3 linked regions of the Ovis aries genome follow. The protein of the gene in region 1 interacts with the protein of each later gene in a biochemical or structural test. Links are inferred from orthologs where the notes say so. Each region holds a gene or a part of one and is shown in the gene's direction. Other genes may lie near its edges. The genes, in order: UBE2D3, PJA1 and RNF114.

The links.
Region 2: the proteins of UBE2D3 (region 1) and PJA1 form a complex in vitro, tested with the Homo sapiens proteins (2 studies listed by BioGRID). The link is inferred for Ovis aries from reciprocal best matches to the Homo sapiens genes UBE2D3 and PJA1.
Region 3: the proteins of UBE2D3 (region 1) and RNF114 form a complex in vitro, tested with the Homo sapiens proteins (2 studies listed by BioGRID, with this or other methods). The link is inferred for Ovis aries from reciprocal best matches to the Homo sapiens genes UBE2D3 and RNF114.

What each region holds. Positions count from the first base shown.
Region 1 is NC_056059.1:22,372,981-22,376,634, forward strand, and holds part of UBE2D3 (ubiquitin-conjugating enzyme E2 D3), read left to right. Parts: intron 1-1,673; coding exon 1,674-1,751; intron 1,752-2,658; coding exon 2,659-2,764; intron 2,765-3,654. UniProt on the Homo sapiens protein: Accepts ubiquitin from the E1 complex and catalyzes its covalent attachment to other proteins. In vitro catalyzes 'Lys-11'-, as well as 'Lys-48'-linked polyubiquitination.
Region 2 is NC_056080.1:62,086,485-62,090,238, reverse strand, and holds the start of PJA1 (E3 ubiquitin-protein ligase Praja-1), read left to right. Parts: upstream 1-1,038; 5' UTR 1,039-1,127; exon of another isoform or gene 1,128-3,388; coding exon of another isoform or gene 3,389-3,553; coding exon 3,554-3,754. UniProt on the Homo sapiens protein: Has E2-dependent E3 ubiquitin-protein ligase activity. Ubiquitinates MAGED1 antigen leading to its subsequent degradation by proteasome. May be involved in protein sorting.
Region 3 is NC_056066.1:78,028,444-78,032,097, forward strand, and holds part of RNF114 (E3 ubiquitin-protein ligase RNF114), read left to right. Parts: intron 1-815; coding exon 816-966; intron 967-2,696; coding exon 2,697-2,803; intron 2,804-3,119; coding exon 3,120-3,234; intron 3,235-3,654. UniProt on the Homo sapiens protein: E3 ubiquitin-protein ligase that promotes the ubiquitination of various substrates. In turn, participates in the regulation of many biological processes including cell cycle, apoptosis, osteoclastogenesis as well as innate or adaptive immunity.

The sequences.
Region 1 (3,654 bases):
TTAAAACAGTTTACCCTTAAATTGTTAACTGTACTCGGTAAAAACATATCTTCCATGAGCCTATTTTATAAAAGTGTAAACTATTTGAAGCATCTATTTCCAATTAATAGTCATTATTTAACAATGATATGTTAATTTAATAAATTTGGGTCACATTCTTGTGTCTGATTTGTCTGTACTTAGCAGATGCTATTTTGCAGTCTTAATTTTCTTGAATTAGAGTTTTGTAGGCATTATGAAGCAGAGGGACTTGGAAGTAGGAAAGACATTTAAATAGTAGCTCTCCCATTAAATCATATGTATCTTTTAACTTGATCATCAGTATACTTACCATTCTCCTTTAAACCCCAGGTATATACCCTTTTTCATTTCTTTATAATAGCTATAAAATTTCACTATATGTCTACCAGACTGTAGATTTAGCAAGATGAGAAATTATTCTGTGTCCCTTTTCACTACCTAGTAAGTAGAATGGAGTTAGTAATTAATGTTTAGTAGTTTTACAGAGGGGTGGGATTAAATGAGCTGTACTACAGTGTCAGCCCTGTGAAGGTTATTTGCCTCGAATAAGAAGTGGGCATAGTATGATACAAGGTTCATGATAGCACTGTATACATCCTCACTCAAATGGAGAGGAATGGGTATTGACAATAATTCAGTTACTGCAGATTTTCAAACATATTTCCAGGTTGACTGCATATCCAGAGGCAGTTATGCAATTCCATTTTTTTAAAAAAACTCTTTGACCTTAAAATCCTTGACTACATCATCATCTTTTCATTCTTTGGTATGTTTAAGTCCTATTTCATTTACTCATGAAATGGCAACAGTTGCATCTTTTTCTTGGTATTGGTTAAATTAAATGTGGAATACTAGTAAGTTTCTCCCAAATGTTACTTCATACTAATGTTATATGCTATTTATTTACTGAGGAGTTTTTCATACTCAAATTACAGTGAGCAAAACATTTAAGGAGAAAAAGTACTGCTGTAGCTTGAAATTTTGTATCTTCTGTTTCAAGTGTGCAAAGCAAACATCCCAGCTTTTCCAAATCTAGTAGTTTTATGTATTGACTTACTATAAAGAATTTTGTGGTGTAATTTTGAAGAAAAAGCTGTCATGGTTTTATTAAATGAGAATTTTGAGGGGCCAATTGGGAACTAAACTTCTTAGAAACTTCTTTGTTTCTATTCTACTTCCCCTATTGAAGGGAGTTATGTTTACCTACAAGGGATAAATTTCTGGTTTGCCAGTGACCAGAATAGCCTGTTAAGGTACAAAGTTGTTTGTGTATATATGACTGTCATTAGAAGAAATGCTCAACAAACAGATATAAGCTTTATTTTCAGATGATAATTAGATGCATTATTATGTAGACTTCATTCTTACCTGTACTTGATGAGAACTAGGATCTCGAACCTTGTGTTTCTGAATAGTTTTTCTAAAATTCTTTGACTGCATGTAAAATAGGATCTAAATTATGATTCCTTATTCTATAGTAAATATTATGGTTTTTCACTAATAAGAACTTTATCATGGAATAATTTAGACTATTTTTGTGTAAATAGGTAATTTTGCTTCATATTAGAGAAATGCTTAGCAAATAAATGTTGACATGAATTATTTAGCAGTCATTTTAAATAGCAGAGTTAAGCATATTTTTCTTTTCACAGAATGACAGCCCATATCAAGGCGGTGTATTCTTTTTGACAATTCATTTTCCTACAGACTACCCCTTCAAACCACCTAAGGCAAGTATTCCCTGCCACCCCCAAGTCTGTGAGTAAAGATTTGTATTTTATTCAGAAGAATAGAACATTCCTAGACATTAGGGTTCTGCATAAGTTAAGGCTAAACTACTGTGAGTGTATAATGAATAAGAATAATTGGGGCTTGAATGTATATACTGAATTAAATCACTGATGTTGAATGCTGACTGTTAGCCTTAGTTAAAAGAAGAGCTAAACCTGGATTTGAACTTTGTAACTGGAGTTAAGAATTGCCTTATCCTTTACGTTGCAAGGCTCAACTATACCATGTGGAAGCATTTTTCTCACTTTATTGTGCGTATACAGATTTGGATCAGTAACTCTAGTGTCTTAAATACTAGCGTTCCAAACACTAACCTTCATTGTGCGTTTTCACACGTTGCTAAAAAATATACCATTATTTGTGTTGGGATTTAAGACTACAGTATATTTTGGCCTTTAAATGAAAATACTTTTATGATATTCAAATGCGTGTTTTATGTACAGTTGGAAATGGAGATTCTAATACATGCTTTTGTACCTTGATGCCTTAAATGAGCTAATCTGTATGCTTTGGTCTACCTCAGAAAGTTTCTAATTTGTTAGTGAATCCTAAATTCCCTTCAAGTTGCTCCTTTGATACTCATGCTATGGTAGGGCCAAAGTTTACCTTCAGAACAACCCACCATATCACTGATAATAAAATTTTTGCCACATGGTTATATTTTCCATTTTAATTAAAAAGAAGCCCCTGAAGGATCTTGGTCAGAATATAGATATTTTTATGTGTATAACTTTAGCTATTAGATTTTTAAAATTTTTAACTATTTTAAGTGTAGCTATAGTTTTTTGCCAAAGTTTACAATGCTTGTTTTTATTTGGGAAAAATAAAGTTGTTTTTTTATTTTAGGTTGCATTTACAACAAGAATTTATCATCCAAATATTAACAGTAATGGCAGCATTTGTCTCGATATTCTAAGATCACAGTGGTCTCCTGCTTTAACTATTTCTAAAGGTAAAATACTAGCGGCTTTGATTTTTCTAATAGTTAAAGGAGTTTCATTTTTGAGCTGACTTACCTAAGTATTTTTATAATGCCAGCTTTTTAATAAAGATGGGAAAAGGAATAAGAAGTTACATCCTTTTTGCTCTTAGCAGTATTGATTAAAGATTTTTTGGGAAGAAGTTAACATTCAGATGGAGGGGGCAGTATTTGCAAATATCAATAGCAGCATTTAATAGCTTTCTTAGTATATTTTTCAATCCCAAGCCACTTGTACATCTCACTCATTTGTTGCCATTTAGCAAAAATGGTACACCTAAAGTTAAAAGAGCTTTTGAACTTGAGGTTTCTTATGGGAAAATTCTGATTTCATTTTCCTGTGTTTCTTATTTTTTAGATAAAAAATCTTTTTAAGAAACCTTTAGTTAAGTTTTCATGTATCATGGTAGGTTGTTTCCTATCTAATAATAGTCTAAAATGCATAGTCTTGGGAAAGGTCTCTAGATAAATTCTGCTCTTCTACTTTAAAAGCGATCTGTTGTGTGGCATTTTTAATAGGTTGTCTAGTTTCCACATTGATGTTCCAGATGGAATATCTCTCCATCTCTTTGAAACAACTCTGGTGGCTTTTATGTCACTTTTACCCCACAAATAAAAATCACCTACCACACAGCTACTTAATGAGAAGGAAGTCTGCCTTTTAGTGATATTCAGTTTTTGATGCTGGCTTATTAGCATTCCTTAGTACACAAAATGAGTTTTTAATGTTGCTAATTATGACTGAATTTCAGATATTTGAGGATAGCAGCTAACTTGAAGCATTCTCATTTTTTGGCTGAATACTTAATGTAGCATTCCCCAGATTATTTCCTGAAATAGTTAGTAGTGTTTTACAAGAAGTT
Region 2 (3,754 bases), on another chromosome or scaffold:
TCTTATTGCTGCCTTAGGTGAAACATATAAACAGCATATAATTGGATTTCTAAAAACTAAATGCTTAAATTGAGAGTTTGCTTTTACATTTTTTATGGGAGACGTTAATCCTTAGTACACACTGATATACCTGGATTTATTTCTGCCTCCCCTCCCTTTCTAACATACTTTCTTGTTGCCTCTCATCCCATTTCTGCGTTTTGTAAGAATGAATTTTTTCCTTTGTTCTACATGCTATTTCTTCAATGGTTTGAAAGTTATACATCCTATTTCTATTCTGTTATTACCCCTAAAACTCCTTGTTCTTCTATTATGTATTTTATTCCCAGTAAAGAACAAAGCTTTGCTATTGTCGTGAACAAAGGTAAGTCTTACATTTGATGCAAGTATTAGAGATACATGTAAAGCGCAATATATAAAAAAGACTTTGGAGTTCAGTAAAATTGTGTAAATCCAAAAGGCATAGCTATAATATTTTAAAGGGCAATTTAATTATAAGGATGTGAAGCTATGTTGTGCTGCAATGACTGATCATTTCTTCTGGATAGAGAAGCTCGATTAACAGCAATAAATTGTATGATAAACAGTTCAGTTTGCTTCAACCACCAGGTTAAAAATTTTTCTGCTGACCACAACCCTAAATACAGTGATACTTCCACTACAAGTCATAACATAGAACATAGGATAGGGTATATTAATATGATTCCTTTCATATCGGAATGAATCAGAAGGAATTTGCAGCTTTCACTTTATACCAGACAGCACGGACAGCAACCATGCAAACCCCAGAACAGAAGGGTATATGACTAAATGTTTAACATTTGTTACAGCTGGCTGTTGGTTACATTTTTCGCTGTCCTTTTCTGTATCCTTGACGATTTCATCATTTCAAACGAAATAATCCTTTCGGGCCCACCCTGATTTGTTGAGAGCAGCTGCCGCCCCCGCCACATCAAGGGGGCGGGCCGCCGCGACGCCACAATCACTTCCGCCGCCGCAGTCGCGCCTGCCCCACTGCTGTCTGGAGGGGGAGGAGCTGGAGCCCCAGGAGCAGCGGCTCTGGCGGTCGTGGAGGTTGGAGGTCCGAGAGATCTGTTCTTCCTGAGAGCGTGCGGGGTCGCGACTGGGTGAGTGAAAGACTTTATTTCCTCGATCTCTTCAGACGTGACGGTGGGGCCAGTGGCCGAGCATGAGGGCGAGTGGCCGGGCACCAGGGTAAGGATGTGGGGGTGGGGGGCTCTAGCGAGCAGATTTTCGGGCTCACCCCTTGGGAAGGGGTGGGGCGGACGCGGGACCTGACCAAAGAGGGAGGCCTGTGTCCTCCATTGGCCCGATTTAGGACTCATCCTCCATCCCTGGCTCCTTACGTATGGCCCGGCCCCCGCTCTGGTGGCTTGAGTCGCTGTTCAAGAGGGGAGTGGTGGTCGCGGCCCTCTATGCCTGTCCTCCCCTCTCCTCCTGCCTCCCTTCTTGGCTCCTCTGTGGAGCGACCCGCGGCCTTTCCCCATTTTGCAGTTGTTTTAATGAATGGTAAAGGATGAAGATTTTTAGGCAAATATATTGTGCCAGGAAAAGAAATGCTGTCAGAAAAACAAATCATTCCCAGGGAAAACTGTATCCCCACACTCCCTTTCCTTTCTCCCCCTTCTCTGCCACATTTTTTGGATCTACCATTTGAGCTGATACACGTTTCCCTCTCTCTCATTATGACATTGCGGACCCCCTCCCATCCTACTGTCTTGCGTGCAGGCACAGGGACACACACACGCACATGCCCACACATACACGGGTGTGTGTACCCGGGCGCACATGCACGTGTGCGTGCATGCGCACACACACACACACACACACACACAAGCACTCACGCATGCCCAAAACCTTCCAATGCAGCTGTCTTACCGCTGCCCCCCATACTCAAGGTTCCTGAGTGTCCCCTCCCCCCTACATGCTTGGACACACATGTACAGACACCCTCTCAGACATTGTCACACTCCCCAGTGCCTTCCCCTGAGAGAGACACAGAATGACTGACAGACACACAGCCTCCCACCCTCCGGTGCCTTTCCTGCCTCTCACCACCTTCCACAAACATACCTCCCCTCCTCCCTGTGCCTCTGCATGCTCTGGTGAGCATACAACACACCACACACACACACACACCCTCTGTGAGGCCTTACCCCTTGCCTGCCACTGACACACATAAGGATATCCTTGGATTGTTGGCTCCTTTTCCCTGCACCACTTAACATGCATACTCACCCACACGCTCTTTCCATACCCCTCTCAGGTGCTCCCTGTCTGCTACATATGTCTAGACAGCCTCCTTCACTGGTCCCTGCCATGCACATACTCACACTCACATAAATCCCTATCTTGGAACATCCCCTCTTCCTGTCGCCACATCCATGAATACAGATGCTCTTTGATTGCTGGTGCCCACCCACCTGCCACATGCATGTCCCTCTCCAGTGATGTCTCCCCATTGATGCATTTGTTCACACTGACACTTCTCGATTGTTGCCTCCCATTTTGATGAACACACACACAAACCCGAGGACACTCCATTCAATGCCGCTATACTCCTCCTGGCCTGCCACAGACACATAAACGTAGGCATCCCTCCCTAGAGCTCCAGCCATCACACATCAGAACCACATGCGCATTCTCTTTCTGCCATATGTTCACATGCCCCTCTCCTCTGAAGCCACACCATGCCTGTCATTTTCATAGCCACATCCACAATGGGTCTCATTCTGCCCAACAGTCATGCCTTTTCCCATGCTGCTGTCACCAGCTCTTTCCCTTTACAAACACAGGAGTCTTTCCTCTTCATGATTGCTGGTCCCCTTCCACCTGTCCTACTGCTCCTGACAGACACTAGGCACTCTCACATACATAGTGATGGTGATCTATATTTTCCACTCTATTCCAATTTGCATTTCTCCTGTATGTCTACAGGGCTCAGAAAAATGCAGGCACCCCATAAAAAAACCACAGCCATCTTTCCTCTTCCCATGTTGGCACAATTCCAGTGTTTTGCCCACCTTCTGAACGTCCAGTCACCCTCCATCTTCCATCAGATTCTCCCATAAGTCTGGCTTTCCTACAAACCCAGTTTTGTAATCATTTTGCCAACATTGCAAATGTGTTCCAGGTCTACACCTGATAGTCACTTGAATGCTATTCCAGGCCTTAGAAGAAAGTGAAACTAATTTTAAAGGCCCCTTATTCTTTTTTTTTTTTTTCTTTACCTGCTGAAGTGAAAATAAATCTCCCTGCTCCTTTATTTTGAACTGATTTGACCTTTCCATCTCCAAAGTGTGTGCAGGGAGCAGGAGCCTTCCCACTCAATCCCCAGCCATGTTGGAAACCCTCCTAAATAGAGCAAATGGGTCAGGAATCTAGCAAGCCTATCTGGCCCAAGCCAGCAGGAAGGTATCAGTCCAATACAGGCAGGAGGTATGGAAGAAGGCATGCTTATGTCAGTTTCAGGCCATCCACAAGCCAGCAAGAAAGGATTTCCAGGCAGAGAAAGACGCCATCTGAAGTCCCAATGCACAGATCAGCCCCCAGTCAAACCACCAAGAGGAGCCGATCACCGTTTTCCACCACTCGTCGTAGTTGGGATGACAGCGAGAGCTCAGGAACCAGCCTGAATGCTGATAATGAGGACTACTCCAGGTACCCGCCCAGAGAGTACAGGGCTTCGGGGAGCAGAAGAGGAATGGCTTATGGACATGTTGACTGTTTCGGG
Region 3 (3,654 bases), on another chromosome or scaffold:
TGCCTCAGTCAGGCCCTCATGATCTCTTGCCTTTGGCCATCTATTTGGTTTCTTTTCTCATCTGAAAAAAAAAAAAATTTAAAACTGACAACTCTATTGTCCATGCTAATCCCAGAATTATTTTTCTAAAACTCGATTTTGGTTTGGTTGGTACCTTGCTTTAAGTACCTGGGGCTTATGAGGCAGAGTGGTAAACATGCACAATGCATGTAAAGAAATAGAAGTCTAGGGGCCTGGAATATTCTTCCCCTCCTCTGCCACTGAACTCTTCTAAGCTCTTTCGTGTATGCTGTCTGCAGTCTAACCACTGCTGTCTTTCTCGGGTTACAGCTGGCTGCTCTTAACTGTGTTTCCATAGCGCTTTGCATTCACCTCTGTTGATGGCTGCTCCTGCTTATGGTGCATTTCATACGTGCTAGACACTGTCCTCAGAGTCCACTGTACGTGACCCATCCTCCCTAGATTCTCGAGGCAGGCACTGTGGTCTCCACTTCACAGAAGAGAAGCTGAAGCTCGGGAAAGCCCAGCAGGATCCCTCGGTGGCCAGGGCTAAGGACTGAAGACTGTGCCGTGGCACCTTCTGCCATGTGTCGTGGTAGTTTGCGTTCATTTCTGTCGTTGGACCTGTGTGTCCTTTGCAAGGAACACTGCCTACCTACCGCCACCATTCTTCTTGCCCAGAAGGACTGAATCGAGAGCAGAGATCGAGTAGTTTTTAGTTCATTATCCATTGATGTCATTTTGAAAAGTTGATCCATTTTTGTCGTCTTGTCTCCACGATGCATGACGCCGGTTCTCTGTGTGTCTTGTTCTAGCTTTTGCTCTGCATGCCTGCAGGAGTGTCTGAAGCCGAAGAAGCCTGTCTGTGGCGTGTGTCGCAGCGCTCTGGCGCCTGGCGTCCGAGCCCTGGAGCTCGAGCGGCAGATTGAGAGCACAGAGACTTCCTGCCACGGCTGCCGTAAAAATGTATGTGGGAGTGGGGCGGAGCAGTCGGCCTCTGTAAGATGGGTAACACAGGCTTGCCGCCTTGTTTCGGAACTTAGAGCGTGGCTGAGTGACGAGCAGCACGTGTGCATGCTGGCTGGCCGTGGCCCTGCTGTTGCATTTTGGTAACCTGATTGGTTGTGTGGTTTGTTTTTTTCTTTTAAAGAATTGGTTTAGCATATTACATAGCTTAGCTTTGAAAACCATAGAAATCAGTTATCCCAGTTTTTTTTCTGTAAAAGACCCATTTTTCCCAAAGCAGCATACACAAATTTAGTTAGAATATGACAAAGTGATATTTCTCCATTTTTTAAAGTATAAAATGAAGTCAGTGCCTCAAAGTTACCTGCTGCAGTGAGTTTGAGGGGAAATTTTGTGATGTATTTTACTACAGATGTAAAACTTGTTCAGCTTTTGGCATTTGGCAAGGAGGAATTGTAGTACAAAGGTCAGTATGAGGACATTTGATAATAGCGGTGTCCAGTATTTGAAATGCATCTATGTTCTTTTTTTGTATGACCGTATTAGAGTCAAGAATATTTATTTTAAAATAATTATAACTGCACAGGAGAAATACTATTATTTTCAAAAGTGATATATACAGAATTACTGGGTTTTAAATAATTGTGATTTCATTAATTCCCGACAGCACAAAAATATAAATTAATGTAGGTTTGTTCCCCACTCCAGAGATTACCTTTTTAAAAATACTTCAGTTTAGAAGGCTGCAAAACATTTTCCTGCTCTCTGACACAGGTGTGGGTTTTATATAAACAGATGTAGGATTTTTACAAAATAGGATCCTACTATAATATGTATTTCTACAACTTCTTTGCACTTTTGAAAACTTCTTTCACTCCATGACTTACCGGACACCCTTGCATGTCAGTCTCTTCAGTTTAAACCTTAGTGAGAGCAGGCATGGACTAGGTGTCCCTTTACCCTGCCTCCTTTCAGAGGATTTGGCGCTACAGGTACACAGTGGCTATAGTTCTGAGTAGAGCTAGTTCCCATCCCCTTTAACCTGGAGCTCTTTGACTGGCAGCTTGAAGTCAAGTTCTTTAGCTAGCGATAAGACAGAAGCATCATGATAAGCCAGAGCGCAAGTACTGAAACATATTTTTCCTTCCAGTTTCTTTTGATTTAGAAATTCAAGATATTGAAGTAAAATTTTGTCTTTCTGTCTTGCAAAGACTAGATTTTATTAGGTAGAATTCAGAATCTGATTTTTCTTTTTTTTGGTAATTTCATTGATCACAATCTGGTGACAGAATAGTATTTAACTAGGATTACTGGCCTTTATCCCTTTTATGTAAATCATCACTTGTCTCTGCTGCACTTAGAACATGGTTCTTGGCATGCTGAAAGGAGGCTAATTTTAAGTGCTGGGGTAGAAAACTTTAGACACTTAACTGGGTTTGGAGTGTCTCTGTGAGCAGAGAGCATATCATGAAACAAACCTCTCCAAGAGTGATTTTAAAGTGGAAGCAGATATCCTGGTTTGCTCAAGTAAAACATCCGCCTTGGTACTAATAGAAACCCTGCAGAAAATCAGAGTTTCAGTCCCTTCCGTGGAGCCAGGAGTCTTGTGAGGTTCTTTGCCTCCCCAGGGCAGTATAGGTCTAGTTTACATCTTGCCTTTGCTTTGGCACTGTGTTGGATTGGGTACAAGATCCCAGCTAACTTGTGGGCTTTGATCCTTCCTGCCTAAGTTCTTCCTGTCCAAGATCCGGGCACATGTGGCTACCTGTTCCAAATACCAGAATTACATCATGGAAGGTGTGAAGGCCACCACCAAGGACGCGTCTCGTCAGCCAAGGTAAATGGTTCTGTCACTCTCTCTGGTCGATGTCTGTCTTCATGAGTTTTGGAGAACAGAGGTGTAGTTGTTAGGCTGGCTAAAGCTGGTGTAAGTTTTTGTTTTCGGGTGGTTATGGAGGACTCGCATGTTCGCTTCAAATGCGGGCTAGACTGTTACTTTCAAAACATTTGACCTGACTGAGAAGTGATCACCAGAATCCCTGTCCTAACGCATTTAGTGAACTTTGCTACTTTGGGGAGGGGCCAGTGGTTGAAATTGTGTGGAAAGGTGCCCACAGAGAAGTTTCTTCTTTTTTCCTGCCTTCATCTTCCAGAAGTGTCCCAAACCGGTACACTTTCCCTTGTCCTTACTGTCCTGAGAAGAATTTTGATCAAGAAGGACTTGTGGAACACTGCAAGTTATCCCATAGCACAGACACCAAATCTGTGGTAAGAGAAACTTGAGTTTTTTTGTTTTGTGGGTTTTGTTGTTTAAATTCTTATGGGGGGAAAAGTCAGACTTTACAAAAAGTTACAGGATTAGTTAATGAACTCTAATGTACCCTTCACCTGGACTCACAGATTAAGATTTTACCGTATTCGCTTAACCATGCTCTGTATACATATTTTGTGCTAGCCATTCGAAAGTAGATTACAGATACCGTGATCCTTTGCCCCTAAATACTGCAACACGTATCTCCTAGGAAGAAGTGTACCTTCTTAGAAAACCACATTTTGTGTGTGTTTTAATTTTCACACTCAGGAATTGTCACATCGATACAAGCCAATACCCCATCTGCAGCTCACATTTAAATTTTAACAGTTGAAATGTCCTTCAAGTCAGTTTTCCCCAGCCCACAGATCCTGGAT